Stegostoma tigrinum: one gene and its partners. The protein of the gene in region 1 binds, or shares a complex with, the protein of each later gene. Links are inferred from orthologs where the notes say so. Each region holds a gene or a part of one and is shown in the gene's direction. Other genes may lie near its edges.

The links.
Region 2: taf4a (region 1) and taf5 share a complex: the UniProt entries of both Homo sapiens proteins name them as parts of the TFIID basal transcription factor complex. The link is inferred for Stegostoma tigrinum from reciprocal best matches to the Homo sapiens genes TAF4 and TAF5.
Region 3: taf4a (region 1) and taf3 share a complex: the UniProt entries of both Homo sapiens proteins name them as parts of the TFIID basal transcription factor complex. The link is inferred for Stegostoma tigrinum from reciprocal best matches to the Homo sapiens genes TAF4 and TAF3.
Region 4: taf4a (region 1) and taf8 share a complex: the UniProt entries of both Homo sapiens proteins name them as parts of the TFIID basal transcription factor complex. The link is inferred for Stegostoma tigrinum from reciprocal best matches to the Homo sapiens genes TAF4 and TAF8.

Annotation. Positions count from the first base shown.
Region 1 is NC_081372.1:17,927,090-17,934,018, reverse strand, and holds the start of taf4a (transcription initiation factor TFIID subunit 4), read left to right. Parts: upstream 1-3,908; 5' UTR 3,909-3,915; coding exon 3,916-5,344; intron 5,345-6,929. UniProt on the Homo sapiens protein: The TFIID basal transcription factor complex plays a major role in the initiation of RNA polymerase II (Pol II)-dependent transcription.
Region 2 is NC_081373.1:15,636,678-15,644,689, forward strand, and holds the start of taf5 (transcription initiation factor TFIID subunit 5), read left to right. Parts: upstream 1-4,989; coding exon 4,990-5,855; intron 5,856-7,630; coding exon 7,631-7,946; intron 7,947-8,012. Other genes in the region: inactive pancreatic lipase-related protein 1-like, read right to left, coding at 3,905-4,094. UniProt on the Homo sapiens protein: The TFIID basal transcription factor complex plays a major role in the initiation of RNA polymerase II (Pol II)-dependent transcription.
Region 3 is NC_081378.1:7,658,576-7,665,894, forward strand, and holds the start of taf3 (transcription initiation factor TFIID subunit 3), read left to right. Parts: upstream 1-4,316; 5' UTR 4,317-4,659; coding exon 4,660-4,825; intron 4,826-7,319. UniProt on the Homo sapiens protein: The TFIID basal transcription factor complex plays a major role in the initiation of RNA polymerase II (Pol II)-dependent transcription.
Region 4 is NC_081374.1:14,876,054-14,882,891, forward strand, and holds the start of taf8 (transcription initiation factor TFIID subunit 8), read left to right. Parts: upstream 1-3,817; 5' UTR 3,818-3,880; exon of another isoform or gene 3,881-4,273; intron 4,274-6,447; 5' UTR 6,448-6,467; coding exon 6,468-6,545; intron 6,546-6,838. UniProt on the Homo sapiens protein: The TFIID basal transcription factor complex plays a major role in the initiation of RNA polymerase II (Pol II)-dependent transcription.

The DNA of each region.
Region 1 (6,929 bases):
CTTCTATCCACCCAGTCATTTATGTCTCCATGCAGTTTATAGCTATCCTCATAGCAGCCAAATTGTTAGAGGTACTGAATCCTGCAACTGCACTGGAAACAGCCTTCCATATTAAAAACTCAAGCTTTGGTTCCTGTTCCTCAGCAAGTTAGATACTAAGTTAACTACATCCCCTTGGAGTTAGGTTACATCAAGTTAAAGCTTTGCTAAAAAGCATGCAGACAAGCACAAACTACAACACCCTCAGTGCTGTCTTTCCTTGATCGCTATTAATCCACACCTTTGAACTGTCAGTTTGCAATCTCAACACCAATAAAAGTTTATTTCCACCAATGTGCTGCTGACTGGTCAGCAGTCAGCCCTCTGCTTTTCCAAGAGAGGCAGAGCTCCAATCTGCTGGATCACTTAGTGGACTCATGCAGTCAGTGCTCAACTTTGAAACTTTAACAGCCTAGGGTAAAATTTCATCAGGCTCTAAACTACAGACAGGCTGTAAACAGTGGTGCTGATCCTCACATTTAGTGAGTATTAATCACTCACTTATCAGCATAGTCCCTCGAGAAGACACCCATTTAAAACCATACCAACATCTTCAGTTTCTACACAGGGTTAGAAAGAGACCAAGACAAGTAACCTATTCTTTCATTAGAAACTTAGTTTGGGACAACAGCCTGAGGGAGAAAGCTAGCAGCTCAATTTTGGGTGTAGATGCTGTAGGGAGGATAGAAGGGGGGGTTTAAATTGGGGCACTCTTAATTATTGTCCAGTGATGCTATATAGGCAGAAATGGGTGATCATTGATGAGGTTCTTTGGATTCAAGAGAAATTCTACAAAATTTGTATGTAGGAAGATACTAGGGCCCCTTGAAGATAAGGAAACCATTCAGCATGGATTTGCAAAAGCTGGATGTGATCCTAAACTGATTTAGTCAGTTTTTTGTTTACACTGGAGAACATGGAAGCTAGGGTACACAAATTCATGGTGTCTTTAAAGTTTAGCTCACACGAGGTAAAGGTATAGTGCATCAAGGTGGTTAAGCCCCAGGACCAGATCAAATGGACCCAAGGGCATTGCAGAGCAGAGAGCTTTGTATCATTGACAAATATGGGCAAGGTCCTGGAAGACAGAAGGTGGCTAGTGTTGTGCTTTTTTAGCAAAGGCTGCAAAAGCCAGGGAACTAGACAGGTGAGCTGAAGGGGATTGAGGGACAGGATCTATGCATTTGGAAAGGAAATGACTGATTAGAGGAAGATAAACAGCATGGCTGTGCTGGGAGCATTCAAATTTGCTTGAGCTTGTAGTGAAGACATGACCAAGATAGGCAAATGCAGCAAGTTTTTTGCTGTCTACATTGGCAAGATTCTGCCTGGTAGATTGGTTAGTAACATTTGATCACATAGGACCCAGGGAAAGAGCCAATTGGATACAAAGTCATTTGATGGGAGACGGTGGTGGTACAGGGTTGTTTAGAGGCCTGTGACTACTGGTGTTCTGGAAGGATTACTGCTGGGTCTACTGGTTCTGATTTATAGGAATGATTGAAGTGAACAGGAGGCATGATCAAGTTTGCAGATCACAGATTTCTGTGATCATGCAATGAAGGTGGTTACCTCAGTACAACAGGACCTTGATCAACAAACTAGTTGGCCAAGGAATAGCAGATAGTTTAATTCAGACAAACAGGTGTTGCATTTTGGCAAGCTAAGCCACAGAGACTTAATGGTAGTATCCTGGGGAGATCTGACAAAGGAGACCTGCAGGTACAGGAGTACAGTTCTTTCAAAGTGGCAGCACAAAGTCCTGAAGACAGTCTGGCATGCTCACCCTCAGTCACAGCATACAGTACAAGAGTTTGGGGGGGGGATGTCATGTTGCATCTGTACAACACATTACATCTGCAGCATTGCACCCAATTCTGGTTGTCCTGCTATGGGAAGCATGCCAGGAAGCTGATTTTTTGCATACTTGAAGTATGCTAGTAAAACAGAGGTTTGAGTAAGGGTGGGGGGGGGGGGGGAAGAAGAGAGAAGAGCTGGTTTCCCCTTTCCCCCACTGGAGTGTCAGACACTACGGTGAGACCTTACAGGGCTAAAAATCATGCCAGGTATGGATAGGAATAGTTGCAGTCTTTCCCACCCCTGCAGACAGGGTAGTCAGATATTAGAGGGGGCACAGCTTTAAGGTGAGTGGTGACTTTCCCCCCCAGAGTGGCACAACATGAATGAGTAGTCAGGAGCTGTAGAGGCAGGTACAGTTACAATTGGAGACATTTGGACAGGTCCATTGATGGGAAATGTTGAGGCATGAGGGACTAGTTTAGAGAACTAGTCAGCATAGACAACGTGGGCCAAATGACCAGGTTCTGTTCTGACCCATGCTCATGGAGACTTGATGAGCTTCTCACTGATTTACAATATCCTTTTTAAAGTGACTCTATTTAAAGTCCAGTGTTCTATAAGCTGGGGTGTCAGAAAAGTTTTGCTTTTCTGTCTACTTCATCAATTGGTCTCCCTTATTTACTAAAATCAAGGTGATATTATCAGAAACATTTTCCTTTTAAGATGCCACAGTTAAGTTTCCCATAAATGTGAACAGTCCATTGCTTTATGCATAATCACAAAACCATTCAAGGACAGCTTTCACTTGACAGCTGAAAGATGTTTAGAGTAACTAGTTTTACATTAGTGTAGTTTTGAACAATACTACAGCATTCTAAATCAGAACACTGCCTTTAGACTTCAGACATTCAATATTTAGTCTAAATACTAGCAAGCACCAAAGAAATAAAGACTGCTTACCTTTCAAGCCAACGGCAGACTTCTTCCCAAAGATATGGGAGAGCTCTAATCTTAGACTGAAAATAAGTAGCATAATTTTAAACTGAAGCTTGTTGTACAGAACACAGAACAAACTAATGCTCAAACAGCTTTTTTCCTAAGTGGTTTTGAACATTATGTGCCAGAAAAGACTTAAAGCAAAAACAATAACCCAATCTGAGACCACATCCTGATAAAGCAAGTTATACAACATCCAAGCAGCAAAAAAAAACTGAAATAGAGAACTACGGATATCGAAGATCCGATTTTCTGAAGGAAGGTCCCGAACCGAAACGTCAGCTTTCCTACTCTGATGATGCTTGGCCTTCTGTGTTCTTCCAGCTGCACAGCTACCTGACTCCAGCATATGCAGTTCTTACTACGTAAGAAGCAAAGAAAGAGGTTACTGGAAAAAGCTTCAGGACTGCCAGCACCTGTGAAGAGAAAAGTTAATGGTTCGAGTCCAGTGACTCTTCAGAACTAAGCTAGCCACGTAACTCGAAACGTTAACTTTTTTAATCACAGGAGAGATAAAGTCAACCGAAAGCTCCATCCGTTTATTCTTTCGAATAAAAGTTATTCGATTGGAGAACAAACTAGCGCCTAGTCCAGTTGTGCGCTGACAGATCCCTGTAGAATTAAAATTAAAGCAGGTTTAACATGTCCTCTGAAAAAGAGGATGAGACAAGTTGCTGTTTCCACACACACCACCAGGTGTGGCGCCCTTTAGCATCTGAAGCCAGGGAGCCATCTTGCACACAATAATGTACAAAGATAAAATCAGAAAAGTCGCGGAAAACGGTCGCTTTTGACGCGAATCTCGCCGAAACCATCAAGGCGGTCAGAGATGTCAGGCTCCCGGGCAGGACCAAGCGGGATTAAAGCGTTTGCCTTCGTGTGGTTGCTCGGCGGCGCCTCTCCAGCCCGCTCGGCACAGTCATTCTACAGCCCAATAACGCGTTCCTTCATTCGCCGGCGCTTTAAACCGGGAGCTGACCAATGACGGAGGGCGGCTGCCGACCCACTTCTGACGTCACCCCCAACAACACGGCCCGGTGCGCATGCGCGGTCCGAGTCAAACAAGAGTTCTGCCTTAAGATGGCGGCGGGGGCTTCAGATCTGTTGGACGATGTGTTCTTCTCAGACGTGGATGAGAAAGTGGTGAGCGACTTAGTCGGCTCCCTGGAGTCCCAGTTGGCGGCTACGGGCCATAACGCGGCGGAACAGGCCGGAATAAGGGCGCAGGTGGTGAATAATCACGTGGAAAACACACCCGGGATGGTGAGCAATAATGTTGAGCTGCAAACAGCAGAGAACAAAATGGGACTGGCAGGAGCTGAGGTTTCCACCGCAGCCAAAATCAAAGTGGACGAGAGCTCTGAGGGTAAAAACGCACAGATTAATTCGCAGAACACATTTGGCAGTGGGGTTTTGCCCTGTACGACGGCGGGGAGTGGGGCACAGCAAAGTGTTGTTATCAATAATGCAAGGTCCCAGGCTCCAGGAGTAGAACAGGAGCAGAGTACAGCGGCAGTAGCGGCAGTGACAGGATCGTCGGAAACATCAGCTTCAGGCAGCATCGGTCAAGGAAAATCGGTGGTGATAAGTGCAATGGCAACCCCAGTGTCCAACCATGTGAAAACTGTCACCTCCAACGTACAAACTCTTAATGGGAATAATGGAATGGCGATAAACTCTCACAATGCAGGAAATGCCACCACTTTTACTTGTTCAGCAGCTGCAACTACCTTGCCAGCTGTTACGGTGGTCAATAATGGACCTGGATCTGTTGTAAAAAACACAGTTAATACAGGGTTGCCAGCAGTGTCTTTGCCAGTCTCTAGTTCTGTCTACACTGTTATTCAGACGTCTTTTGTCAGCACACAGAATGTTCCTTCAACTGTTGTTTCATCACAGGCAGCAGGACCCACAGTGACATTGGTGAGACCACCAGCGCACAGTGGCCCAGTTCTGCCAGTTGCATCAGCACCAAATGGTAGTAGTACTATATTGAACTCAACAGTTAGTGTAACTAACTTGTCAGCACCTAGTGGCACTGGAGCTCCACATCAGACTTCACTTCTGACTTTAAACAGTCAGTCTTCTAGTTTGTCAAGCAACGCTTCTTTGTCCACTGGTGGACAGGTTATCAAATCTGAGTTACAGCCCAAAACAATTATACAGACACCACAGCAGACTCTCAGTGCAGGAATATTGACATCAACAACTGGTAGTGCGGTGACCACTTTAAACAATCAGTCAAACACAAGTACTATGGTAATAGGTCAGACGATACAAAGTGGACTTCAGAATGTGGCATCCAATCCTGGAGGAATTTCCACTCAATCAGTTGGTACGCCAGTTGGAATGGGCAAAGGAACCATTAACACAATTGCCCAAACTATGGCAAGGACAGCAGCAGTGAACACTGGCCCAAGGACAACAATAACACCGCAAGTTATAGCTCCCCGTCTCCCTCAACCCCAACAGCATCAACCAAACATTCAAAATATTCAAATTCCCCCAGGTGAGAATAAGATCATATTGGTCAGTGGCTTGTGCTTTCTTGTACTATTAAGAAATTTGAAAAATTACTTATTTTCTGTTCCAGCTTAATGCTAGTCTTTAGAATATTTACTTATAGTTTTGTCAGAGGCAATTAAATCAAAGTGGGAAAACGTAATGTGCAATGGGCTGTCAACTGTCTCCATAGACTACAGTGACGCAAAATTATAGGCAGTTTAAAAAATGTTTGTATTTTCCAAATGATTTATAATACAGCCTAACAATTTCATAAATTAGCATTTCTGACTAGCAGAATATAAAAGGATAGTGTCACAGTGGAAGTTAATTTAATTTTAACATACTGAACAATTAACCTTGTGTATATAATGTTAATGGCATTACAGTCTACAGTTGTAATTCTACTCATTTCCAGGTGATCAGAGTGAAATCACTTGCAGATCCAGCTCTTTGTTCACGTTAAAGCATTGATCATTATAGGGCTTGTATAGCTTGTATGTAGTGGAAACTTGCATTTACCTCCTGCAGTATCGTGGCTGTGTTGATGAATTTCTGTTATGTGAGTAAGTAATCTTAGCAGTTGGTAAAGTTAGTTTTATTTTTCGGTGTGCAAAACACTGCTGCCAATGTACAACTATTAAACTTTAAATCCAGTATATAAATATTCACCAGCACTTTCCGTAGCCTTCAGAAGTTGAACAAAACTGCAAAGACTTTTTTAAGAATCAATTAAAAGTAACAAATACTTGCTGTGCTTACTGACAGATAACTGATTCAGCTGATGAATTGCATGTTAATATTGAAGTTTTGCTCTGAAATGAGTGGACTATAACACCGAATAGAGCTGATAAGGATTATTAAAATAATTATTTAAATTATTTTTGCTTATGTGGTATTACAATTTCCCTTTTGTCACCTGTGACCAAGAGGTACTAATTGGTGATTTAAGATCTAATATTGTGGAATTATGACTAATGTCTACAAAATTATCACTTGTAGTTCCTGCATTTGCTACTGCATTGTCAAACTGGAATCAATACCAAGTTAATCAGACGTGGTTATCATCACGCTGACTTCAAAAAAGTGCACTGAGCAGCAGATGAAGCTTTTTTGCTATAATTGTTTAAACAAATAGAAGAGCTAGATTGATCGCTTAAATTTTGCAGTTGTAAAGTTTGACTTGCATCTGGAGTATTTTCAGCTACAGTAGTAAAGCTTAGATTCCCATGGGAAATTTGTTTAAAATTATGAATTATGTTGAACAAGTATCATCTGAACATAACCTTTAAAAGGAAAGAAAACTTTAGGTGAGTACTGCTTTCACCGTACATCTTGCGCTTATAGAGTCAGTGTCGTATAGCGCAAAACAGACCCTTCGGTCCAACTCATCCACGCCAGTCAAACATCCCAATCTGACGTTGTCCATTTGCAGCATTTGGCCCATATCCCTCTAAACACTTCCTATTCATATACACTTTCAGATGCCTTTTTAAATGTAATTGTACTCATCTCCTCCACTTCCTTTGGCAGCTTGTTCCATGCACATCCCACCCTCTGCATGAAAAAGTTATCCCTCAGGTCCTTTTTAA
Region 2 (8,012 bases), on another chromosome or scaffold:
TCTTTTCTCCTCATGTGTTCCACCAACTCTCCTCTGCATCTCCAAAAATCCTGGCCATGATTACTTTCTGGCCCCTTACCTTACCAAACCTTGAGGATCTTAAACCTGGATCAGTCCCTCTCTCCCCAACTTCCTCACTCTCCTCCCTCTCTCATCACATGCCTTTCTACTCACCCTTGTCCTTCACACTCCCAACTCCACACGCTCTCTAACCTTACCTTCCACACTCCTTAACTCTTTCACTATTTACTTTGTCCAATCCTTATATCTTCCATCCTTATCTTTCTCTCTCCTCACCTCCCTTTCTCCTCAGCCTCGTCCTGCTCATCTACTCGCTCGTCATATCCTTCTTCACCTCCCTCACTTTTCACTCCTCCTCCTCACCTCCCTCAGTCCTCACAAACTCCTCCTCTTTATCTCCCTCAATCCTCAATCTCTCCTTCCCATTATCTCCTCCACGCCTTACTCTCTTCTCCTCACCCTCTTCACTCCTCTCTTGCTCTGTCTTGTTACTTCCTGCATTCCTCAGCTCTGTCCCTTTTCATGTCTCTCTTACCTCACCTCCCTCACAGGGCATTTTTCACACTCCGTCCTAGAAACATAAAATTACAAAGCACTTTTGAAAATGTCAATGGAAAGGGTTAATACCTAAGCTTGCATCTCCCTGCTCCCTATTTCTTAATTTGCTGTCTCTCACCTTCACATAAAGTGAAGGAATCTCACAATGATACAGCACAGAATGAGGTTATTTGGTCCATCATGCCTGCCCCAGATTTATCAAATTAGATTCAGTCTCCTGATCAGCCATTGCCCAGAAAATATGTTTTAATTGAATCTGCTTCTACTGCCTTTTCAGGCAGTGCACTCCAAGTCACTATTGTTGTGTTTTTTTCTCTCTTCTCCTTGATGGTTCTTTTGTTATTGGACAGGTGTTGCCAGATTTTCCTTTGGTGCCACTCTAATGATCAACCTTGAGTACTTCCCCTGCTCCCAGTAATTGTTTTCGAATCATAAGGTAAGGTGAAATTTGTTCCAGGTAAGAAGTTAAGCAGTAAATAGAGTGACTCACCTTCCCCAAGACCATGACACAAGTACACCGTCTGGAGCTCACCGGGGTTCTCTCTCTTATATATATGCTCCTAGGGCTCTCAATATTTCAAAACATCGAATTTAAGTGTGGGAAGTGCACAGCTGGATTCTGGCAAACACCACGAACATATCCCAAAGCCTTTACTGGCAGTGCCACAAGGTCAGGAGTCCAGTTTCATACAAACCCCAGTTTGAACCCTTGCCACCTCACCAAGCAAGAAAGTGGCAAGAAAAGGTCCAGGGTGGGAGACAGCTTTTAAATTAACAGCAACATGGCAAGTGTCCGACCCATCCAGTTGTCCAAGGACTCTTTGCCAGGAAGGGGCTGGATTCAGAGCTTGTGGGTGGTAGCACAGGGGTCAAGAATGTTACATAGAGATTGATGGAGCTAGGCCATGAGAGAATCTAAACAAGATAAGCATCTTAAATCATGAAGAATCAGTGGGCACTGATCCTGGGCATTGGACAAGAGGGTAAGGGAGGGCCAGTTTGCGGCATGGACAGTACATGGGATTGGTCACTGGACATAGGGTGTATTGGGCAGTGGGCATGGGATGTTCGAGGTTGGACAGTGAGAGCTGTCATCTTTTGGCATGGGGTTTTGAGCAGTGAAGACAAGGGTGTTCTCAGAGAGCATGGGGGACCGTTGGGTAATGGGTATGGAGGGTGTTGTCAGTGGTCAGAGGGGCTGATGGGTAAATAAGACATATGACATAGGAGAAGAAGTAGGCCATTCAGCCCACTGAGTCTGCTCCACCATTCAATAGATCATCAGTGCTGATCAATTAATTTTGAATTCCATATTCCTGCTTTTTCCCTTTGACTCTTGATTCCCTTACTGATTAAAAATCTGTCTATCTTGGCCTCAAATACACTTAATGACCCAGCCTCCACAACCATTTGGGGTAAAGAATTTTGCAGATTCAGTATCCTCTAACAGCAGAAACTCCTTCTCATCTCTGTTTTCAATGTGTGACCCCCTTATTCTGAGATTATGCCCTCTGGCCCGACACAGGGAAACAACCTCTCTGCATATACCCTGTCAAATCCCCTAAGAATCTTGTATGTTTCAAGAAAGTCACCTTGAATTCTTCTAAATTTCACTGCGTATATGCCCAGCCACCTCAACTCTTCCTCATAAGGCAGTCCCTCCACATCTGGGTATCAACCTAATGAACTGCCTCCAAAGTCAGAATAGTACTCCTTAGATAAAGAATCCAAAACAGTTCATGGTATTCCTGTTGTTGTCTGACTAGTGCCTTGTATAGTTTTAGTAAAAAGACTTGTTTAAAATAAAGGCCAACATTTCATTTGCCTTCCTTGTTACCCACTGAACTTGGATGCTAGCTTTTTGTGATTCATTGATGACGGGTCCAAATTCTCACTGTTCCGTAGCTTTCTGCGGTCGTTCTACACATAAATAATATTCATCCCCTCTGTTCTTCCTACCAAAGGACATAACTCATATTATATTCCATTTGCCAAGCTTTTGCCCCCTCATTTCTTTCGCAGACTCTTTGTGTCATCCTCACCACTTGCTTTCCCACTTATTTTTTGACTAAGTGTGAGTCAAGGTACAGCAGCAGAGTTTTAGATGAACCAAAGTTTCCTCATCTTGGAAAAGAGGTGGGGGTTGGGTGATGAGCGATGTGAGTGCATGTGTCTGTGTGTGAGACTGTGTGTGGAAGTGAGTACAGCACTGGACTAAGTGAATCTAGTCTTGATAAAATATAGAAGAGGATTCCACCAGAAGATAGACTAACCTCCTCTCTATCATTCCAACTTAAATTTATGTGCTCAAGAAGAATGTAAGGTGTAGGTGAGTGACATTATGGAGGCGGCAGTCGTTTGTCTTCAGCCAATTTGATTCACTCCACATGATATCAAGAAATTACTGAAGACACCAGATACTGTAGAGGCTATGGGCACTGACAATGCTCCGACAATAGTACTGAAGACCTGTGCTCCATGACTAGTGGGAGTGACTGCCCTTGGCATCAAGGTAGCAACTGACCAAGTACGGCATCAAGGAGCCATAGTAAAACTGGAGTTAAGAAGAAAACTCTCTGCTGATTGGAGTCAAACCTGACACAAATGAAGATGTTTGTGGCTGTTAGAGGTCATTCATCTCAGCTCTATGACATCTTTTTAGAAATTCCTTAGGGTAGTGCACGAGCCCAACCATCTTCCTCTGCTTCATCAATGACCTTCTCTCCATCATACGGTCAGAAGTGGTGATGTTCTCTGATAATTGCGCACTGTTCTGCACCATTCACGACAGCTCAGGCACTGAGGCAGTCCATGTCCTTAAGCATCAAGACCTTGACAATATCCAATCTCTTTTAATAAACAGCAAACAACATTCTCACCACACAAGTGCCAGACAATTCCCATCTTCAAAAAGAGAGATTCTAACCATCATCCCTTCACAGTCGATGGCAGATCTATCGCCGAATCCCCCAATATCAATATCCTGGAATTACCGTTGACCAAAAATTGAACTGGACCAGCAATATAGATACTGTGGCTACAATAGCAGTTCTGAGGCTCAAAATTCTGTGGTGAGCTACTCACCTCCAGTCTCTGCAACACCCTTCCATCATCTACAAAGCACAAATTAGGAGTGTAATGGAATACTCTGCACTTGCCTGGTTCAGTCCAACTTCAACAGCACTCAAAAACCTTGATATCATCCAGGAAAAAGCAGCCCTCCTGACTAACACCCCATTCACCAGCTTCAACATTCACTTCCTTCACCACTGATGCACAATGCCAGCAGTGTGTATAATCTACAAGATGCCCTGCGCCAACTCACCAAAGCTCCTTTGATAGCACTTTCCAATCTTGAGGCCTTTACTGCCGGTAAAGACAAGGGTAACAGATATATGGGAACACCACCACCTGCAAGTTCCTCTCTGAGGCACACACCATCCTGGTGCGGAAATACATCGCCAATCCTTCAGTGTCGCTGGATCAAAATTCTGAAACCCCCTCACACATGACATATGGGAGTGTCTACACTAGATGGAATACAGCTGTTCAAAAAGACAGCTCACCACCTGCTTCTCAAGGGTAACTAGGGATTGACAAAAAAATTATGTCCCACAAGTGACTGAAGTGGAAATGTTCAGAATAGTCCGATCAAGTTAAAGTACTGGCTAGGCTTCAAGGTTGTGTTAAAGATTGGCAGGAAAATTTGCTCCAATATTATGTGAATGAGTTAATAATTAATACTAATTAATTGTAATGAGTAACATTTTGCAGTTATCACAATATGAACATGTTTTTCATTCCTTAGTGATGTTTTAAATCAGTTATCGCTAAGCAGCAGCAGTAACTTTGAGATAAAAAGTTTAATTTTTGTAAATTACATTGCATTTTCTCTTCCACAAAATTCTGACATTTAAACTGACCAATTTTTCTCATAGTGGAAAACATGTTGACGATTCTAGCAGAGCAACAGTATTGTGCTGTTGACTGTTTACATCCTGCAACATTTGCCCCCAGAGCCACACTAAGGATTTGTTTGGGTCCCAACTTTGATCAGTTTGACCCATATTTATGGATAAGGATTATTTTGTGATTTAACAAGTTTTATTTACCTGTGAGAGTGTATACTTTTTTAAAGTATAAAGGCTTATACTGTTGAACACATCTCTGTTTTGTTTTTCAGTGCTACTGAAATCTGAGTCACAGGATTTAGGGTTTTGTTTGGTCTAAATGTTATAATTTCAACATCTTCAAGGGGGCAGCCCAGTCCAGCTTTCCGTAAAGCGGATTTCCGCTTTGCCCAAATTGTCGTAAACAGCCATGGGCGGTGACTTGCCCAAACTGCCGTAAAATGAGCCGCCATCTTTATAAAGTGCGGCGGTGTCGTGAAGTGCCCCAGACGCTGTCAAAATGGCGGCGGTGTCAGAGCCGGTGGCAGCGCAAAGTGAGGCCGAGGCCGAGGCCGAGGGCCCGGCTCCGGCTCCGGCGCCGGCGCCGGTCCCGGTCCCAACCGCAACCGCAGTCCCAGTCCCAGCGCCGACATCAACCCCGGCTCCGGCCCCGACCACAGTCCCAGTCCCAGTCCCGGCCCCGACCACAGTCCCAGTCCCAGCCCCAACCCCAACCCCAACCCCAGCCCCAGCCCCAGTCGCAGCCCCAACCCCACCTCCGGCCACAGCCCCAACTCCGGGCGCAGGCCCTGCTCCCTCCCCTTCCCCAGCCCCAGTGCCGACACCTTCTCCCGCTCCTTCTCCATCCCCCACTCCCTCTCCCACCCTGATCCCCAAGCTGGAGCCGAGTGAAAGTCCGGCCGAAAACCATAAGCCTGGCCTGGCCGCGGGTCCAGCTACAGCTCCGTGTCCCGCGACTGCTGCAGGCCCGGCTCCAGGTCCAGGACCAGAGCTGCCCGACAAGCAGACGCTGCTGGCAGTGCTGCAGTTTCTGAAGAAGAACCACTTCACAGAGGCAGAGGAGATCCTGAGGAAGGAGGCCAACCTGCAGGAGAGCCTGGACGAGTCGCTGCTGAGGACGGCCGGCCACAGGGGTTCGGACTCGGTTCATCAGCCCGATGTCAGCTCGGTGCTTTCGGCCTACAGCAATGAGGGAGACCCGAGCCTGTACGAGGAATATTACACTGGCCTCAAGGGCTTCATCGAGACGGCGCTGGACGCCTTTAAAGCCGAGCTGTCCACTCTCCTGTACCCGGTCTTCGTGCATCTTTACCTGGAGCTGGTTTACAATGAGCATGAGAGGGAAGCTCGGCATTTCTTCCACAAGTGAGGGGCCTCCAATACCACAAACTTATTATCAATGTCTGGAATATCATAACTATTACAATATCTGTATATCGTTAATATCTTGTCCTTTCCTGATTCTGATTTGTACTGAACTTGAATTCAACATTGGTTAGGTCGTAATAAGGATACTACCAACAGATCTGTTTATCGTAATACAGTGAGGACCATTGATTGCACCGGACAGGGTAGAAGAGTGCATTGTAGATTCACCAGAATCATATCTGGGTTCCTGGGGTTAAATAAGAGAGGTTACAGTATCTGCGGTTGTACTTCCTAGAATTAAATTTTTGACGTGCTATGAGAAATGACTGGGTTAGTAGAAGGAGACTTTTTGCTGAATGGGGAATCTAGGATACAAAGTCCGCCAATGAGTCTGGTATTTGGCAGTCGTTTTTTTAAAAAGTGTAGCTTGTCAGGACTGGAATTAAGATAAAATCAGTGTACTGCTGGGGACGTAAAGTAAAAATAGAAATTTCTGGAGAGATTCAGCAAGTCTGGCAGTATCTGTGGAGAGAGAAATGGAGGTAGTGTTTGAAGTCTGATGTGAACCTTCTTTGAAACTGAAGGAGAGCATCTGTAAGTAGTATCGTAACAGTTTGGAGTTCTCTTCCACAAATTCAGTTGGTGTTGGATTGGTTTATGTTAAATCTTGGTTGGTAAGATTTTTGCTATTGAAAGATATTGTAGAATCATGGAATCCCTGCAGTGTAGAAGCAGGCTGTTTGACCTTTCGAGTCTATACCAACTGTCCAAAGAGTGCCCCAGCTAGACCTAGCAACCGAAACTGTACCTGTAACCCTGCATTTCCCATGGCTAATCCACTTAGCCTGCATATACCTAGATACAGTGGGCAATTTAGCATGGCCAATCCACCTAACCTGCACATCGTTAGACTGTAGGAGGACACCTATGCAGACACTGGGAGAGTGCAAACTCCATACTCAGTTGTCTGAGGGTGGAATCAAACCTGGGTCTGAGGGTGGAATCAAACCTGGGTGGCAGGCGCAAAGGTGGGTGTGTGGGGTTTGTTGAAGATCAGCCATGATCTCGAATGGCAGTGGAATAGACTCGGAGATGAGCTGGTCTGTCCCTGTACTTCAACTGTGGAGTTCTGTTTTTTTTCTCACCACTTGCTCCAATTTACATGATAATTTCCACATTGATTTCCAGCATGTTTGCATCCCATTACGTTCCCCCTCTCTCCCTCATGTCATACTGAGAAGTCATCCCCTCTTTGTCTTGAAGATGGACTGTTATCACCTACATCCCAAACATCAGTTTCGGCCACAATGCTGTTGGAACAAGTAACGTTAGCGGTTGTGACAGGCTCATGCTGCTTACACACTCGGGCTACATCCATTGAAGGAGAGCATGTTACTCTTTGCGCATGACAGCTCCTGGAAGTGTCAGTCTTTTATGATGCACTCCTGTGCTTGTAAGCTTTTTAAACTGGGCAGTCCGCTGGTGGATGGTGTACCCCATTCCTGATCATGGGCCAAAGTTGGAAAGGAGGTGCAGGGGAACCCTGGTAAATGAAGAGTTTGACGGAATTCAAGTTCTTGGGTCAGGGTTGTGCTCCACTGGCATGTATCAAGGTGAGGATGAGGAAGTGGTGCGCGAGTTTATCCTGGAGAGCTACTTTGAAAATATTGTTGACTTTTTCTGCAATCTGTAGCTGTCTACTGAATCCACACAGTGAGAGTATGGGAGGTTACATCTATTGGAGTCTGAACCTGTCTTCTGGTTGGTTCCAGGTATCATGGGGATCAGGAAGGTTATTACCATGATGACCTGCGAGTGTTAGCTGGCCTGTCAAAGAAGGAACACATGCAGGGGAACGAGACAGTGCTCGATTTTCGGACTAGTAAGTTTGTGTTACGGATTTCACGGGATTCGTACCAGTGCCTGAAGCGTCACTTACAGGAGAGGCATAATAACCAGATCTGGAACATTGTGCAGGAGCAGCTGTTCATTGATGTATTTGATGGGATGCCGAGGAGCAAGCAGCAGATCGAGGTGACTTCTGGGGGAATGGCTGGAGAAGCAAAGAGGGAGGCAAATAAAACCAAGGTAAGGAACAATCTCTCTCAGCAGAATCACTGTTGACCCTATTGCACAGGATCATTATTCCTGGAC
Region 3 (7,319 bases), on another chromosome or scaffold:
CCCCATCTCCCCCCACCCCCGCCCCCCATCTCCCCCCGCCCCCGCCGCCCATCTCCCCCCGCCCCCGCCCCCGCCGCCCATCTCCCCCCGCCCCCGCCGCCCATCTCCCCCCGCCCCCGCCCCCGCCGCCCATCTCCCCCCGCCCCGCCGCCCATCTCCCCCCGCCCCGCCGCCCATCTCCCCCCGCCCCGCCGCCCATCTCCCCCCACCCGCGCCGCCCATCTCCCCCCACCCCCGCCCCCGCCGCCCATCTCCCCCCACCCCCGCCGCCCATCCCCCCCCACCCCCGCCGCCCATCCCCCCCCTCCCCCGCCGCCCATCTCCCCCCACCCCCGCCCCCGCCGCCCATCTCCCCCCACCCCCGCCGCCCATCCCCCCCCACCCCCGCCGCCCATCCCCCCCCTCCCCCGCCGCCACCTCCCCCCACCCCCGCCCCCGCCGCCCATCTCCCCCCACCCCCGCCGCCCATCTCCCCCCACCCCCGCCGCCACCCCCGCCGCCCATCTCCCCCCACCCCCGCCCCCCATCTCCCCCCACCCCCGCCCCCCATCTCCCCCCACCCCCTCCGCCCATCTCCCCCCACCCCCGCCGCCCATCTTCCCCCACCCCCACCCCCGCCGCCACCCGCCACCCATCTCCCCCCACCCCCACCCCGGCGGCCCATCTCCCCCCACCCCCACCCCGGCGGCCCATCTCCCCCCACCCCCACCCCCACCCCGGCGGCCCATCTCCCCCCACCCCCACCCCCACCCCGGCGGCCCATCTCCCCCCACCCCCACCCCCACCCCGGCGGCCCATCTCCCCCCACCCCCACCCCGGCGGCCCATCTCCCCCCACCCCGGCGGCCCATCTCCCCCCACCCCCACCCCGGCCGCCCATCTCCCCCTCTTCCCGCCCCCCCCCCGGCCGCCCATCTCCCCCTCTTCCCGCCCCCCCCCGGCCGCCCATCTCCCCCCCCCCCCCCGGCCGCCCATCTCCCCCCCCGCCCCCCCCCGGCCGCCCATCTCCCCCCCCCCCCCGGCCGCCCATCTCCCCCTCTTCCCGCCCGCCCATCTCCCCCTCTTCCCGCCCCCCCCCCCCGGCCGCCCATCTCCCCCTCTTCCCGCCCCCCCCCCCCCCCGGCCGCCCATCTCCCCCTCTTCCCGCCCCCCCCCCCCGGCCGCCCATCTCCCCGCCCCCCCATCTCCCCGCCCCCCCCCCCGGCCGCCCATCTCCCCCTCTTCCCGCCCCCCCCCCCCCGGCCGCCCATCTCCCCCTCTTCCCGCCCCCCCCCCCGGCCGCCCATCTCCCCGCCCCCCCCCCCCGGCCGCCCATCTCCCCCTCTTCCCGCCCCCCCCCCCCGGCCGCCCATCTCCCCCTCTTCCCGCCCCCCCCCCCGGCCGCCCATCTCCCCGCCCCCGCCCCCCATCTCCCCCCACCCCCGCCCCCCATCTCCCCCCACCCCCGCCCCCCATCTCCCCCCTCCCCCGCCCCCACCCCCCATCACCCCCCACCCCCGCCCCCGCCCCCGCCCCCCATCACCCCCCACCCCCGCCGCCCATCTCCCCCCACCCCCGCCCCCGCCGCCCATCTCCCCCCGCCCCCGCCGCCCATCTCCCCCCGCCGCCCCCCGCCCATCTCCCACCGCCCCCCCCGCCCATCTCCCACCGCCCCCCCCGCCCATCTCCCCCCACCCCCCCCGCCGCCCATCTCCCCCCGCCCCCCCCGCCGCCCATCTCCCCCCGCCGCCGCCCATCTCCCCCCGCCCCCGTCCCCCATCTCCCCCCGCCCCCGCCCATCTCCCCCCGCCCCCGTCCCCCATCTCCCCCCGCCCCCGCCCCCCATCTCCCCCCGCCCCCGCCCCCGCCCCCCATCTCCCCCCACCCCCGCCCCCCATCTCCCCCCGCCCCCGCCGCCCATCTCCCCCCGCCCCCGCCGCCCATCTCCCCCCGCCCCGCCGCCCATCTCCCCCCGCCCCGCCGCCCATCTCCCCCCGCCCCGCCGCCCATCTCCCCCCACCCGCGCCGCCCATCTCCCCCCACCCCCGCCCCCGCCGCCCATCTCCCCCCACCCCCGCCGCCCATCCCCCCCCACCCCCGCCGCCCATCCCCCCCCTCCCCCGCCGCCCATCTCCCCCCACCCCCGCCCCCGCCGCCCATCTCCCCCCACCCCCGCCGCCCATCCCCCCCCACCCCCGCCGCCCATCCCCCCCCCTCCCCGCCGCCACCTCCCCCCACCCCCGCCCCCGCCGCCCATCTCCCCCCGCCCCGCCGCCCATCTCCCCCCGCCCCGCCGCCCATCTCCCCCCGCCCCGCCGCCCATCTCCCCCCACCCGCGCCGCCCATCTCCCCCCACCCCCGCCCCCGCCGCCCATCTCCCCCCACCCCCGCCGCCCATCCCCCCCCACCCCCGCCGCCCATCCCCCCCCTCCCCCGCCGCCCATCTCCCCCCACCCCCGCCCCCGCCGCCCATCTCCCCCACCCCCGCCGCCCATCCCCCCCCACCCCCGCCGCCCATCCCCCCCCTCCCCCGCCGCCACCTCCCCCCACCCCCGCCCCCGCCGCCCATCTCCCCCCACCCCCGCCGCCCATCTCCCCCCACCCCCGCCGCCACCCCCGCCGCCCATCTCCCCCCACCCCCGCCCCCCATCTCCCCCCACCCCCGCCCCCCATCTCCCCCCACCCCCTCCGCCCATCTCCCCCCACCCCCGCCGCCCATCTTCCCCCACCCCCACCCCCGCCGCCACCCGCCACCCATCTCCCCCCACCCCCACCCCGGCGGCCCATCTCCCCCCACCCCCACCCCGGCGGCCCATCTCCCCCCACCCCCACCCCCACCCCGGCGGCCCATCTCCCCCCACCCCCACCCCCACCCCGGCGGCCCATCTCCCCCCACCCCCACCCCGGCGGCCCATCTCCCCCCACCCCGGCGGCCCATCTCCCCCCACCCCCACCCCGGCCGCCCATCTCCCCCTCTTCCCGCCCCCCCCCGGCCGCCCATCTCCCCCTCTTCCCGCCCCCCCCCGGCCGCCCATCTCCCCGCCCCCCCCGGCCGCCCATCTCCCCCCCGCCCCCCCCCGGCCGCCCATCTCCCCCCCCCCCCCGGCCGCCCATCTCCCCCTCTTCCCGCCCGCCCATCTCCCCCTCTTCCCGCCCCCCCCCCCCGGCCGCCCATCTCCCCCTCTTCCCGCCCCCCCCCCCCCCCCGGCCGCCCATCTCCCCCTCTTCCCGCCCCCCCCCCCCGGCCGCCCATCTCCCCGCCCCCCCATCTCCCCGCCCCCCCCCCGGCCGCCCATCTCCCCCTCTTCCCGCCCCCCCCCCCGGCCGCCCATCTCCCCCTCTTCCCGCCCCCCCCCCCCGGCCGCCCATCTCCCCGCCCCCCCCCCCCCGGCCGCCCATCTCCCCGCCCCCCCCCCCCGGCCGCCCATCTCCCCCTCTCCCCGCCCCCCCCCCCCGGCCGCCCATCTCCCCCTCTTCCCGCCCCCCCCCCCCCCCGCCCCCCCATCTCCCCCTCTTCCCGCCCCCCCCCCCCCGCCCCCCCGCCCCCCCCCCGGCCGCCCATCTCCCCCTCTTCCCGCCCCCCGCCCCCTCTTCCCGCCCCCCCCCGCCCGCCCGCCCATCTCCCCCTCTTCCCGCCCCCCCCCCCGCCCGCCCGCCCATCTCCCCCTCTTCCCGCCCCCCGCCCCCCCCGCCCCCCCCCCCCGGCCGCCCATCTCCCCCTCTTCCCGCCCCCCGCCCCCCCCCGGCCGCCCATCTCCCCCTCTTCCCGCCCCCCCCCCCCGCCCCCCCCCGCCCGCCCATCTCCCCCTCTTCCCGCCCCCCCCCCCCCCCCGGCCGCCCATCTCCCCCTCTTCCCGCCCCCCCCCCCCCCGCCCCCCCATCTCCCCCTCTTCCCGCCCCGCCCCCGCCCGCCCGCCCGCCCGCCCGCCCGCCCGCCCCCCCCCCCCTCTCCCCCTCTTCCCGCCCCCCCCCCCCCTCTCCCCCTCTTCCCGCCCCCCCCCCCCCTCTCCCCCTCTTCCCGCCCCCCCCGCCGCCCATCTCCCCCTCTTCCCGCCCCCCCCCCCCCGGCCGCCCATCTCCCCCCCCCCCCCCCCCCCCCGGCCGCCCATCTCCCCCCCCCCCCCCCCCCCCGGCCGCCCATCTCCCCCCCCCCCCCCCCCCCCCCCCGGCCGCCCATCTCCCCCCCCCCCCCCCCCCCCCCCGGCCGCCCATCTCCCCCCCCCCCCCCCCCCCCGGCCGCCCATCTCCCCCTCTTCCCCGCAAACCGCTTCCTTTCCCCGCCCCTGCGCGGTGATGGCAATTTATTCTAAATCGCCGTCGCCCGGGCAACCACAGTGACAGGCCTGACGAGCCGATGCGGCTGCCTCGATCGTTCGAGCTGCCGGCGTTCGATGGGTCGTGTCCGAGAGTCCAAGGAGCCGGCGGGCGTCGGGGGCACAACATGGCGGCTCGGGAGTGAGGGGCCGAGCGGCGGCGGCGGCGGCTCCGGGAGCAGTGCTGTCAGTTGGCTGGGCCGGGGAGTGATGGTGGTGATATGAAGGAGGGAGGGAGGGAGAGAGAGAGAGAGACGGAGTCCCAGAATAAGGCCATGCCGACCCGCCGCGCTTGAAGGACAGAGTTGGTGGGGGGGGGGGCCGGTTGGGTATTAGCTGTTTTATTTTAACAGTATTTTGAGGCCGGGATGTGCGACGCTTACGGCAGGGCCTTGCTGCGGGTGGCGGTGGCTCAGATCTGCCAGGCTCTGGGATGGGACTCGGTGCAGGTCACGGCCTGCGACATCCTCACCGACGTGCTCAACAGGTACATCGAGCAGCTGACCCGGGGCTGCCATCGTTACAGCGAGCTGTGTGAGTACCTGAGACCCTGTGATCTCCATCCATCGGGCACAGACACAACCTCACTCATTACAGCACACACAGTCTTCACCCAAACAGCCTGTCTCTGAACAGCCAGCCCGCGTTCTACACTTGTAGGCCTCTAGCTCCCTGGACTTCAGAAGATGGAGAGGCGGTCCAGGCGAAAACATATTGTTCCCAAAGGGGTACCTTGACAGGTTGGGTGCTGAGATGACTTTTCCCCACGCCCTCTGGTTGTTCGCCCTCCCCCTTCAGATTCCCTGCAGCCCCAAATATCGGCTGTGTCTTAGGGTCTGGAGGAGGGTTCACCGGGAAAGGTTTGAGAATCTTTGGAATTCTCTTCCCCCTCCCACACAGCCAGGGATGCTCTGTCAATTGAAGGCTGACATTAATGGATCTTTCGAGTATTACGGGATATTGGGATAGTGTGGGAGGACACAGGCCAGAAAGGAAATCAGCCCAGATCATCCTGAATAATGGAGTTGGCTCGAAGGGCCAAGTGGCCTGTTTCAGTCTCTCTTTCTAACATTTTCACCAAGCCTGGATGTTCCTGTTTGTAGCGCTTGTTGTTTACAATTGACAAGCTTCATGGATTTTGAGATTTCAGCTGATACCTCCAATCTGACTGAGCACGTTATTATCAGGAAAAGCTCGGCAGCTCTGGCAGCATCTGTGGAGGAGAAAACAGAGTTAACATTTCGGGTCCAGTGACCCTTAGAACCGTTCTGAGGAAGAGTCACTGGACCCACAACGTTAACTTTTTTTTTCCTACAGATGTTGCCAGACCTGCTGAGCTTTTCCAGCAGCTTTGTTTTTGTTTCTGATTTAGAGCATCTGCAGTTTTTTAAAAAATATGTTATTTTTTAGTGTTAGCAGCTGAACATCCCTGTAAAGTAAACATTGATTAATACTAACTTAATTTTTTTGTCTTCGGCATTGCCATTTAAGTGAAGTGGAGTTTAAATGATGGAGTACAAAATAAGCAGTAAGCTTCCACTGTTTTGAGCACTTAGTACCTGCCAAAAGCTTCCTTTATTTCCTTGACCAATAGTGTACATTGCTTGATATCCAAGATGGCCTTGAATTGTTTGTACTTTTACTTTCATTATTTCACTTTTGAATGACTCCTACTGTTGAAATGTAGACTAGCCTAGAAGTAGTTGCTGCCAGTCCTATTTGGTCAGAAGGGTTCTGAAGAAGGGTCACCAGACCTAAAATTTTAACGCTTTTCTCCTCCACAGATGCCACCAGACCTGCTGAGCTTTTCCAGCAACTTTGTTTTTTGTTCCTATTTGGTCAGATCCTGTCTTATGTTAAAGTCAGCCTTCCCTCAGTTCATAACTTTTACTTCTGGGCCATCTTTATCATTTTTCACAACAACCTTAAATTTCACTGAGGTATGGTCACTATCACCAAAGTGCTCTGCTACTCACACGTGCTTGGATATTCTCCCTAAAATTAAGTTGAGAACTGCCCGCTTTTAAAAAATATCCTGGTACATTTTAAGAATTCTGTTCCCTCTAAGCCTTTCACACTTTGTCTATCGCAGGTAATATAGGAAAGCTTGAAATTGCCTTTTACTGTGCCCTATTATTTTACACTTCTTGAGATTTAGCCGATATATGTATTCTTTTGGTAGTCCTTTACTGTTTGAGGGTGTATAGTACACTCCCAGAAATGTGATTTCCCTTCTTTAAGTTCTGCCCATGTGGTCTTATTTGAGGAACCTTCTAAGATATCATCCCTCCTTATTACAGTAATGACAAGTAATTGACTCCTTGATTAGTGTTATGACTACTCTTATGCTCTCAACTAGCCTGACGATTCTATACTCCAGAATATTGAGCTGTCTGTCCTGCCCCCCTCACAACCATACCTCAGTGTTAAGAACGAGAGCATATTTCTATATATTAATCAATCATCCTCACCTCACCTGCCTTATTTGCAAAATTCATTGCATTAAAATAAATGCCATCCAGCCTTGTGCTCCTTTGTGCCTTAACTTTACTATATATGTGTGTGTGTCTTACAGACTGGATTTTTCCTTTGTATTTGACTGTATATCACCCACTGGGCAATTTACAATCCCCAGCCACTCATTCACCTACCCACCACACCACACAGATATCGGTCCAGTTTCTGGGTCCGGTGGAAGCCATTGGACTAGTACAGGTCCCACCTTCCCTGGAAATAGACCCACTCATCGCGGAATCTAAAGATTCTAGACTTGCACCAATTCTTTTAGCCACCCATTTAACGGTGAGATCTGCCTATTCCTATGCTCACTAACACGTGGAACCAGATGTAATCCAGCGGTTGCAACCATTAAGGACCTGTTTGTCAATCTATAACGTAGCTACCTAGATTGTTGTTGTAGAACTTCATCCCTCTTTTTACCTGTCGTTCGTATCTATATAAACTTCAACTTCTGACTGTCACCTTCTCCCTTCAGATTCCATCCAGCCATTCAGTGACCTCCTTGATC
Region 4 (6,838 bases), on another chromosome or scaffold:
ACTTTAATGAGTACAATCCCAGGATCCTTAGCCATTCATCATACATTAAACCTACCATTCCAGGGATCATTCGTGTGAATCTCCGCTAGACACGCTCCAGGGCTAGTATGTCCTTCCTGACGTGTGGGGCCCAAAATTGGACACAGTATTCTAAATGGGGGCTAACTAGAGCTTTATAAAGCCTCAGAAGCACACCACTGCTTTTATATTCCAACCCTCTTGAGATAAACAACAACATTACATTCGCTTTCTTAATTACGTTCTTTACCTGCAAGTTAACCTTTAGAGAATCCTGGACCAACACTCTCAGATCCCTTTGCATTTCTGCTTTGTGAATTTTCTCACCATTTAGAAAATAGTCCATGCTGGCATTCTTTTTTCCAAAGTGCAAAACCTCACATTTACTCACATTGAATTTCATCAGCCATTTCATGGACCACTCTCCTAAACTGTCTAAATCTTTCTGCAGCTTCCCCACCTCCTCAGTACTACCTGACTGTCCACCTATCTTTGTATCATCACAATAGACAATCAAACTGTCACTGTCAGTTTTGTGTTCTCACTGAGACTGAATTTTGCAAAGACACAAAATAGTGCATATTCTACAGCAGTAATTCAGGGGTTTTGCAAAATAAATCTTCATCTCTGCTCAAAAATATCCTTAGGCAGTTATGATGTCCATAAATTTCCTGGCTCTGCTTTAAACAATAACTTTTGGTGGTAGGTGTCAGCCAAGGCTGAGAAATGACTTGTGGATGGATGTCCCACTCTAGTAGTTAAGCAGAAAAATCAAGACTGGTACTTTTCATACGGTCCCAGAGAGCTGCATTGTTGAAGGTCTTGGCTTTTTAATGAAACGTAGTGCAGTTGTGATCACTGTAGGATTCCCTGCCCTGGCTTTGAAACTATAGACTTGCTGCCTCCTCAGGTGGATGTAAAAATTTGGATGGCATTATTTCAAAGGGGTGTAGGGGCAGCACAGTGGCACCATTGTTAGCACTGCTGCCTCACAATGCCAGGGACCTGGGTTTGATTCCAGCCTTGGGTGGCTGTGTGGAGATCATATGTTCTCCCTGTGCCTGTGTGGGTTTCCACCAGGTCTCTCGTTTTCTCCCACTCTGCAAAGATGTGCAGTTTAGGTGGATTGACCATGCTAAATTGCCCTGTAATGTTCAGAGATGTGTAGACTAGGTGGATTAGACATGGTACATGTGAATTTATAGGTTAGGGCTTGGGTCTGAATGGGATTCTGTTCGGAGGGTCAATGTAGACTCAATAGGCCATCTGGCCTTTTTACCTAGTGTACAATTCTATGCCCCAATAACATTTCTTTCCCAATTTCCACAGATTAACAGATCATTACTACTTTGTTGTTTGTGGGAGCTTGCTTCACATAAATTAGCTGCTGTGTTTCCTACATCAGAACAATCATGACAAAAACAAGTAAGACTTGCATTTCAATATTGCCATTCATGGCCACCAGGTTCCTGAAAACTCATTATAGTAATGACATTCATTATCATTCTCTAAATACAATGAGGTAATTCACTCGTTCAAACTCTGTCCAATATTGACGGTGTATAAACAAAGTTCATACAACTTCTTACTGCAATTAAAGTAAAAAAAAGATAGTTTGTAATGCTAAATGAAACTAACCACACTGACATACTGACCTACTGATTATGCTACTTCACTCTCTTCATGCAGTGCATCAGTTTTTCTTGGACAATGTGCTGCTAATACCCTTTTTTAAAAATTAAAAACAAGGCTAACACAGAAAAACAAAGTTGTTAATAACTGTGGGAAACAAACTTAGAACACAAACTGAAGCCAGTCATCACTTTCCATATTAATGTATTTTGATTGTCAACTATGACCCAATTAGCAGCAACTCTGCATCAAAAGACTGTGCGTTAAACACCTATTCCGGAGTTTAAACACTAAAAACTAGGGTGACACTTCAGTGTAGTACTGAGAGAGTGCAGTGAAATGTCATCTTCTAGGTGAGATCTTAAACTGAGATCCTGTCTGCTCTTCAAATTTCCTGCATTACAACAGTGACTGCACTTCAAGAAGAGCTCATTCTCTGTGAAGAGCTTTGTAATTCAGAGCTTTGGCAAAGATCTGTAGCTCGGGTTGTGGGTGAGGTTGTTGGCTTGTCCACTGAGCTGGCTTGTTTTCATTCAAACATTTCATCACCATACTAGGTGACATTGTCAGTGGACCCTCCGATGAAGCAAAGCTATTCTATTCTGCTTGGAAGTTATATTGTTTGGTCCATTGTGGTGACTAGTGTCATTTCTGGTTTTGATCTGTATGTGTTTGTATATGGGGTACAATTCTATGTGTTTGTTGATTGCATTACATGTGGAGAACCATTCCTCCAGGAATTCCTGTGCATGTCTATGTTTGGCTTGGGCTACTATAGTTATCTTGTCCTGTAAAACTGATGGCCTTCATCGTCTGAATGTACTGATATTAAGGAGACTTCATTGTGCCATTTTGTTGCTAATTGCTGTTCATGTATCCTGATGGCTAGGTTACTTCCTGTCTGCCTGATGTAATGTTTGTGGCAGTCATTGCATGGTATTTTGTAAACCATGTCAGTTCTGCATGTCGTGGGAATGGGGTCTTTAATCCATGTGAGTGTTTGTCATAGAGTGGCTGTGGGCTCGTGGGCCACCATGGTTCCTAGTGGTCTCAGGAGTCTTATTGTCAGTTCTGATATGCTCTTGATATATGCAGTGTGGCCCTGTAAATGCTGCTGTCACCTGTGGTGCAGTTGGAAGCACTCTTGACTCTAAGTCAAAAGTGTCTGGGTTTAAGTCTTCGTCTAGGACTCAAGGGTCAAAATAAAAATTGCCACTCCTGAGGTGGTATGTGAAGTAGCTCCACAAAGGCTGGTATCCTGTCACCAAGTCAGCCTTTATTTACACATGCATAGTACATAACACTGACCCAGCTAGCTTAGAACTGTCTCCTAGAGTGAACAGAATCGCTGACACTCCTGTCAGCCAGGGCCCTCTGGTCAGACCAGGTTAACAGCCCCAGTCAGGGAACTCTTATTCTATAATGCCCACTTGGTTGATCTCATTCCAGCCACTACAATAAGAACTGTCGGAAGGTGTTATCTTACTGGTTAAATGTTGAGCTGATACCTGTGCCTTCCCATTCAAATTGCCTGGTGTCCTTTATTCCCTATGGGACTTATGAACAGAGGAAGGCCATTTGGCCCTTTGCATATATTCTGCCATTCAAACAAATTATGGCTAATCTGATATAACAAAGTGTGGAGCTGGATGAACACAGCAGGCCAAGCAGCATCTCAGGAGCACAAAAGCTGACGTTCTGGGCATAGATGATAAAGGACAGAAATGGTAAGTGTCTAGGCCCGAAATGTCAGTTTTTGTGCTCCTAAGATGCTGCTTGGCCTGCAGTGTTCATCCAGCTCCACACTTTGTTATCTCGGATTCTCCAGTATCTGCAGTTCCCATTATCTGTATGGCTAATCTGGTAATCCTCAACTCAATTTTCCTGCCTTGTGACCATAACCCCTGATGCCCTTAATGATAAGAAATCTATCTCCTTGAATATAATTGACAGCCCTCTGTGGCAAAGGATGCCACACATTCACAGCCCTCTGAGAGAGAGAACAAAAAAAAATTAAGGTAGGAACTACATTTCAAAAGCATTCCATGCGGCTGGGAGACGTTCGGTGAAGGATACATGTAGGTGTAAGGATGTGTTTCAGTTTAAGGCACCGATGCGAGCGATGTGTCAGGCTGGGAGCACCAGGCTGCAGTCCCCGCTCAGCCAGCGCAGGGGGCAGTACAGGCAGCGACGAGCAGGAGCGGAAGCGGGTCGGCGGAGCTGAGCTGAGGTGACGAGCTGCATCATTTTTCATCCCGATAGCGTGCGACTCTTTCGGATCTAAAATCTCCGGCCGCACTGAAAACAAGCGTAATTGTGAAGTCTGCTTGCGTTTAGGCACCGGATGGTTTTATTTTCCTGAAGCAAGGAAATCAAATCTTAATTTACTTTAAGCCGGTGTCCAGCCAGGAGTCTCTCGAGTGTACAGGCCTGAACCAGAAATAAATGTCCCAGTTTTATAAAGTTACATACAGCTTAACGCACTCATGAAATTTAAAATTTAGTAAGGAAGTAATTTATTCGTCGATGTCGGCTGCCTTTTTTTGAATGCAGCAAAATATTTTGCTTAAAAAAAGTCTTCCAAATGCGATTATTTACAGTTTAAATGTCTGAGGCACTAAAAGTGAGTATACGTTAGATAAATGCCTTTTAAAATTGCATGAATTAGAGTTTTTCTTGCTCCACGTAAATGTGAAATGGTTTATGATCAATGGCTGTAAATTCGATCTGTCTGCTAATTTAAAAGGAGAGCTTGTAATGCAGTGGGTGGTGTCCCTGCCTCTGAGCCAGAAGCTATTTGATGGCCAAGGAAGATGCATTCATAATGTAGCCAAACTGCAAAATCTGGTTCCACACAGTAGTGGAAGAGATTTCTGGGCAGCAGTAAGATGGAACAAAGAGTGAAGCCTTTACCCATCACAGTATGTAGCTTCAGAACACTATCTGCATGTAAAATAACATGTTTCCACACAACTTAGACTCCATTGAGTTGTAATAGAAGCCATCCTGCGAAGTGATGAATGGTTTCACTTCTTCTGTGCTGACTGTTTCAATCCTTGTTTTTCTGTAGCTTTTTTTAAAGGAAAGGTGAAAATGGCAGATTAACTAATAATATATTATATTAAGAGCATGAAAAAAGCATATTCAGTAGATAATGTGACAGTCAACACATATCCGATGTAACAAAATATTTTTCAAAACTTTAATTGTGGTGCGAAGGGAGAGCATTTCGGACAAGCGAATACAGCATTTCTGGATATCGAGAATGATAATGGATGAGGAAAAGTACTTGGAAAGAAAATCACCTACTTGAAGGGTTTACCTGATGCACTTGACTCTCAGCTAGCCCTATGTACTTGCATCACTGCCACAAAGTGGGATCCAGGAAGGATGTGGTTTTTCAGATCGTTAGTACCTTGCCACAGACATATCCACTGGATGTAAGGAGCATGTGGTTGGATTTTCAGGTGCATTGGGCATCAATTAGGCAATATTTTCACTGCCTCAACACTGGTATTGTAAAATGATTTTACAAGGTTAACTAGCTCAAAGCAAGTAACAATTTTCATATAGCCAATATATGCCGGTGCAGTGGCCCTGTAATTCAGCCTTAAAATAAAAGAAAAAAAAATCTCCTATCAGCACCATTCCGCTACCCTCCCTTGCCACTCCCCTCTTTATCTGCAGCTCCCTGTACCCCACATCCAGTCCTGAAGAAGGGTAATACCCAAAACGTTGACTTCCCTCCAGATACTGCCTGGCTTCCTGTGTTCTTTCAGCCTCCTGTTTGTCAGTGCTGTAATTAGGTTGTGTAATTAGTAGTTAAAAGTACAGAGAATCAATTCAATTTACTATACTGAAGTGCCATTCTATATTATATACTGAAGGTAGGCTTGAACAATAATCTGTCACCTGTAATTGAACAAACAACAATGTAACAAATCCTGATGGCAACTCAAGATGGGAAACAAATGCTGGCCTTACCAGCAGGCTCTATATTCCCATGAAATAGTAAAATAAGTGTTCTGAGTTTTAAGAGAGATGTTTTTTGTTTTCTTCGACCGCCCGTCATGCTTCTCATGGGTAGCTGGTAATTGTTTCAAATTATTGAATGCATAGAGGGCTAAATGCTAACAACAAGCCTACATAGTAGAATTAGGATCTTGGAACACCTTAATGTATTTCCATAATAATTTAATTCTTATTTTGTATGCAGCATCTCTGCTAGTGAACTTCGCACTCACCGGTTGATGACAAAGTACATGCTCCTTCATTGCTCTTATAATGGATGATAGCAATTTTTTCAATATTTAATTCTTTTTGAAGACTAGAGAAGGTGGAAGAACCTTGTTGCTAGGCAGATATGAAACCCATTTGGCATTTTAGTGGCTTTGTGGGAAGATTAATTTTTTTTCTGGTTTCTTTTGCTTTTTCTTGAGTTTGTGATTTCTTTATATTTTTGAAATATGTGGTGTCTTGCAGCTTTTCTCCATTTAAATGTTCAAAGACGTTGAGATGCATTCTGGTTTTTGCTGGTTTTTCATTTTGGGTGGGTGTGAATGATCCACTTAGCTCCCGTTTGTAAGAGTTTCTTTCATTCAAAGTATTGCTGCTGGCTGCATTGAGTGAAAAGACCAATATGTAATGTTCTTCTGTTCCTGTAGGCCTTGCTTTTACACGATGCAAACATGCTTTTGTCAATCTAAACTGATGTATTGCATATGTAAAAATGAAAGTTCAGGTGTTGTTTGAAATATCAGTTTATTGATTGTTAACATGAATATACCTTTGTTTCAGGCAACTATTAGATTGTGAAAATGACTACGGCTTCTGTCTCAGATACATATACGTCAGCTGACGCAACATGTAGAGTCTCAGTGGAAAATGTTACCCAGGTAATGTGGACAGATCAGAAGTTTCTTTGAATGTATGACTGTCTGTACAGGCAGTCCCTGGGTTAAGAATTGTTCCATTCCTGAGTATGATCGTGAGTCGATTTGTATGTAAGTGAGAACACAATGAGAAATAATATAAAATATCTATTTGTAAGCATAAGTGAATGTTTGCATGTCGGATCCTTAAATTTAATATTATGGAATCTCGCTCATAAGTACAAGCATTCTTAAGATGGACGTTCATAAATCAGGGACCACCTGTGTATACTCAAAAATTAGTAATTTATACATTG